Bombyx mori: one gene and its partner. The protein of the gene in region 2 binds, or shares a complex with, the protein of the main gene of each other region. Links are inferred from orthologs where the notes say so. Each region holds a gene or a part of one and is shown on either strand. Other genes may lie near its edges.

Evidence for each region. Proteins that work in one complex are often made in the same cells at the same time.
Region 1: eIF3c (region 2) and eukaryotic translation initiation factor 3 subunit L share a complex: the UniProt entries of both Drosophila melanogaster proteins name them as parts of the eukaryotic translation initiation factor 3 (eIF-3) complex. The link is inferred for Bombyx mori from reciprocal best matches to the Drosophila melanogaster genes eIF3c and eIF3l.

What each region holds. Positions count from the first base shown.
Region 1 is NC_085117.1:14,766,075-14,768,759, forward strand, and holds the end of eukaryotic translation initiation factor 3 subunit L, read right to left. Parts: coding exon 2,463-2,685; intron 2,366-2,462; coding exon 2,180-2,365; intron 1,455-2,179; coding exon 1,221-1,454; intron 723-1,220; coding exon 588-722; 3' UTR 540-587; downstream 1-539. UniProt on the Drosophila melanogaster protein: Component of the eukaryotic translation initiation factor 3 (eIF-3) complex, which is involved in protein synthesis of a specialized repertoire of mRNAs and, together with other initiation factors, stimulates binding of mRNA and methionyl-tRNAi to the 40S ribosome.
Region 2 is NC_085122.1:5,765,357-5,767,783, reverse strand, and holds the end of eIF3c (eukaryotic translation initiation factor 3 subunit C), read right to left. Parts: intron 2,219-2,427; coding exon 1,925-2,218; intron 1,151-1,924; coding exon 983-1,150; 3' UTR 572-982; downstream 1-571. UniProt on the Drosophila melanogaster protein: Component of the eukaryotic translation initiation factor 3 (eIF-3) complex, which is involved in protein synthesis of a specialized repertoire of mRNAs and, together with other initiation factors, stimulates binding of mRNA and methionyl-tRNAi to the 40S ribosome.

The DNA of each region.
Region 1 (2,685 bases), on a different chromosome or scaffold from region 2:
CTCGTCGAACCCGTCGCTTGCGACGAAGGGCTCGACGAGTAAATTAACCCTCAGACACAGCCCACTGAGTTTCTCGCCGGATCTTCTCAGTGGGTCGCGTTTCCGATCCGGTGGTAGATTCTGCGAAGCACGGCTCTTGCTAGGGTTCGTGCTAGCAACGTCGTCAGGTTCGAGCCCCGTGAGCTCACCTACTACCGTTAAGGTTACGCTGATAAAGCTTTTCAAGGCTCTCAGCTTAGGTAGGTAAAAAAAAAAAACATTTTTTATCATGAGTGATCATCACCTCTCACGTAATTTATTTGAAAGGTTGTGGGCCACCCCATTTTTTTATCTCACCAAGAGCCGATGGTGCGTTGTTAAGTCATTACTAGAACACAGACATCACAATTTGAAAGCCACTATCCTTATGATATTGAATTCCTAATTGTATTTTATTATGACTATCCTTTTAAACCGGACGTACGACTGCTTTGTAGTAGAAAATGACAAGACACCATAAGTAATTATGCAAATTTGTAATTTGTGAGTTTTTAAAGACATTTTAGTATAAATCATTTATTTGTAAATGTTTTGATACAATGGCCATTTTAAATTTTAATATGGTGTAGTTTTCTATTTAGTTCTTCAAACTTCAACAGCTTGCGGATGAAAAAGTCACCATAGCGATGAGCCACTTTCGTATCTGCGATATGAATCATATCGTTGTCGATGTAGAAATCCAACTGAAAAAGAAAAGTAGTATTGAATTATTATTTTATTTCTTTGCTTAAATGTGTGGACGAGCTCACGGCCCACCTGGTGTTAAGTAGTTAACTGAAGCCCATAGACATCTATGCAGTAAATGCCGCCACCCGCCTTGAGATATTATTTCTAAGGTCTCAGTATATTACAACTTTTGCACCACCCTTCAAACAAACTCATTACAGCTTCAGGGCAGATATAGGCAAGGTGGTGGTACCAAGACGTCCTACCACCAGTAATTACGCAAACTATAATTTTGCAGGTTTGATTTTTATTACACTTCCTTCACCGTGGAAGTTAATCGTGAACGTTTGTTAAATATGTATTTCATTAGAAAAATTGCTACATGCCTGCGGGATTCGTATATCGTTGCATCGCTAGATACGAACGCACTGGACGTCTTATCCTTTAGGTCACGACGACTTGAATTCCAGCTTAAGATAAATAATAATTATAGGCAGTATAACAGGTTTGTTTACCTCAGAACCACTTTGGAATTTTCCATCAAGACCACTGGGGCCTTTAGTCCAAACTACGTTCTTCATTTTGTGCTTGAAGCAGAGCAAGTGAATGGCGAGAGCCGCATGTTCACGTGCCGCGTCACGCTCACTGCCGCGAGCAGCAGACATGAATGCAGCTAGTTTCGCCATCGGGAGGGTGGTGTATAGTTTCAAATAGGAACGTATGGTCGGAAGCATTTTTTGTTGACGGACCTACAATATAATAAGTGAAGGTTACTCGTTAGAGATATGAGAAAAAGAGACTCTAAGTTGGCTAAAGTTAAAGTATCAATATGAACAGTCCGCATTGTCGTCGTCGCTGTCGTCGCCGAACATACTGTGGAAAAGAGGAACCCGGTCGGCGGTGTATGGCGTTCTGACCCGGCAGGCTGGTTCTGTCCCAGCGGATCCCGGAACACCAGTGGCATCGCCCGGGCGGCCTAGTAGCGCCGCCGTACCGCGGAGACCGGCGTCGTTGGTTGTCGACTAACGCCTCGACGACCCGTTGGTCGGGCGTCCTTGGGGTGGCGCCGCGTGTCTAGTTGTATTGTTGACCGTGGGAACCCCCTACTCTGACCCCGGATGGAGATCGGACGTCGGGTGTAACAGTGAGTGCAGGGCAGTCGTTTAGTGCGGTAGGGCCCTAAAATTCCTTGGGCCCGCGGTCTGCTCCCAACACCTGCAGACCGTCAAGTCCCACATACCTCGCGCGCCCCCTAGGCGTGGGGACCTCGTAGGTTAGGCCCCAGGACCGAAAAAAAAAAATCAACATGAGATGAAACCATAGTTGGGTATCGTTCAACCAGGTTTAATTAAGCTTGACTCTCATCCTATGAATAGAGATTGTTGGAGTCAAATGAAGAAGAGGTATAATAAACCAAACTAGTCTTGTTTAAATTGATAGATAGATAATGTCACAATACTATCACTAATATTACCTCGTCCATAAAGACTTGGGTCTGGTGTTTGACAGCATCACGGCCATAGTTGGCACCGGGTTCAATGGGCGGGGGACACGCCGATAAGAATTTGGGGCACGCGAAAGTAAAGCAGCTCTCGAATTCACCTAGGTCTCCATATTGCATTTTAAACATCTTCTCATGGTAGTTCTTTTCTCGAAGCACCTGGATATAGAATTTGTATTTGTATGAATATAATATAATTAGTACATACACTATATTTTAAGTCATCTAGATAAAGCTGGTATGATAGGTTACTAACCTGCTGGATGGATTCATCAACGCACTGCGGATGCAAGACCAAACAAATGGCCAGTAAATGGTACATTTGCTCGGTCTGTTTGTTGATCTGATCATTCTGGTAGGAACGGGAGGAGAACAATTGTTTAGTGCGTTGCATGTATAGCAGCGCAGAAGAGAGGGTGCGGATGGCGTCGGCGTACCGACGCATCATCATGTACGCGAATCCGACATAGTATGACGTG
Region 2 (2,427 bases):
ACTGTATTTCGGAACACGGCCTATAAACGAGTAGCAATCCAGCAAACCTCATTCTGTTTAAAACTACTATGTTTATACCATTTCCACTTCCTACAGCTAGCGCTATTTCGGTGAGTTCTCGAACAATAATTTGCTGAGTTCAGATAGACTTTTTTAATTTGTCACCTGGTGCTTCTTTGTTCTATTCTTTATGGTTCGCGGGCAGCTTATGAAGCTATTCCAGCTACGGGCGGACGGGTAGGTGAGCTCACGGGCTCAACCTGAGAATTTGCTAACACAAGCCTTAGCAAGAGTAGTGCTTCGCTGAATCTACCACCGGATTGGATTCATTACCCACTGAGAATATTCAGTGAGAAACTCCGTAGTTTGTGTCAATAGTCAAGTTGCAAATCGAACTTTTCGATAAGAATGGTGTCCGGTGTTTGAAGAGCCTAAAAGCACCCAGAATGGTTCGGAGGATTCGAAGTCATGTTTGGGGCGACGGCGGCTTTGTGTTGCCCCCTCGCCTAGGTCAGATTGGGGGTCGTGTGACAGACATAAATTACGCTATTTAAAAATAAAATAAAAATGCTTCTCAAGTGACACGATTTATTTTTCCAAAATTTAAGATAAATGAAAAAATGAATACACATTTGTGAAATTAATTGTTCTTGGAATCGAAAAAGAAACTGTCTGGAGTTGATAATGCTGACGAGTTTTACACAATTAATTTTATAACTACAATGTTTACAGTGTGCTTAGTGCGAATTTTTTAACGTTTTCGATAGAGTAAAAGTTAACCCAATTTTGTATGCAGTTGGAACAGCGCCCCTAGCGACAAACGCAGGCAAACGATCCCATTCCATACAGATATGAGCTACCTTTTATGTTATCGAGAACGTTAAAAAACTCGCACTAAGCACACAGTTCGTAGTATTTACGGAGACTATTAATTAAAATGTGATAGAAAAATTCTCGTATCGTTTTTTGCTTTAGAGCAATTCTAGTCGTCTGCGCGTTCGTCGTCGCGGCGACGGTTGCGGGTGCGTCGGTTCCAGCCCTCACGCGGCCGCTCTCGCTGACGCCCCTCCCCGCGCTGTGCGCCGCCCCGTTGGAAGAACGAGCCTTGTTTTTCGAATATACGCTCATTCGAATCCACCAAATTTCCGACCTGCAATAATACAAGTCTCAAGTTGTAGAACAAAATATTTTCAACCCACCATGACAGTCCGCGATTGTTGCAAGCTTGACTTTTGCTTTATGTGGACTCAAAAACCTTGAGTTACGTCATTATCATCATCAGCCTGTGGCAGTCCACTGCTGGACATAGGCCTCCCCCAAAGCTCGCCACTGAACCCGATCTTCAGTTCTACGCATCCAGTCATTGCCAGCTGCCTTGCGTAGGTCGTCGCTTTATCTAGCAGAAGGGCGTCCTACACTACGTTTGCCGGTTCGCGGTCTCCACTCCAGAACACGTCTACCCCAATGGTTATCGGTTCTGCGACATATGTGACCAGTCCATTGCCACTTCAGCTTACTAACTCTGCGAGCTATATCAATTACTTTGGTTATTGCCCGAATGACTTCATTACGTATTCGGACTCGCAATTACAAACCAAGCATACATAGCAAAATTATAAATTATAGGACATATATCAAAATTATTGGATGAAGTATATCAGCATAGATTAAAAGTGTAAGCGGAATCAATTAATTAGTTAGTATCAAGTGCGGGCTCTTCAAAGCATCTCACTTAAGCGCGTAAATATATCGCGGAATACTATTGGAAGATATTGTACCCATCTATAGGTTGGGGGATGAGAAGAGTTTGAATAGGAGTATTATACGTGGTGGCGGTACGCTAGATGACATCGCTAGATATAAATGCACCAGACGTCTTATCCTAAATTAATCAAAATATCCATCATATTCCAAAACCACCTACCTTGTCGGCAAGCTGTAGTGCCAGAGCCTGCATACGTGTTGGTTCGGAACGGTGCAAGATAGCACATTCGCTCGGGTCATCCAATGATGCCAAGAGCTCCTCGTTGATGATCATTTTAGACACTAGAGAATGTACGCGTTGACGTGGTAATTCAAACATGTCAGCGAGAGAACGCAATGACAGTGACGCGTACACGTGAGCATATGTGAACAGATAGGTACGTAGGGACTCTTCACGTATAAGACGACCTAGCATTGCACGAACATTATCAGCTCCGACCATTAAATCCCAAACCTGAAATTACAGTAACTTTAACTAAAATTTATTTACAACTAATTAAATATTGCGGGTTGAAAGGCTATCAGGTTTAAGCGACGTTTTTGCAATTTTACAGGAGAGTCATTTCAAGTTTAAAATTTGGACAAAATATCCAAAAAAATCTTCAGCTAATTCATTGGAGTAAACATAATTGAAGTTCAATTAAAAGCATCTGACTGTTGATG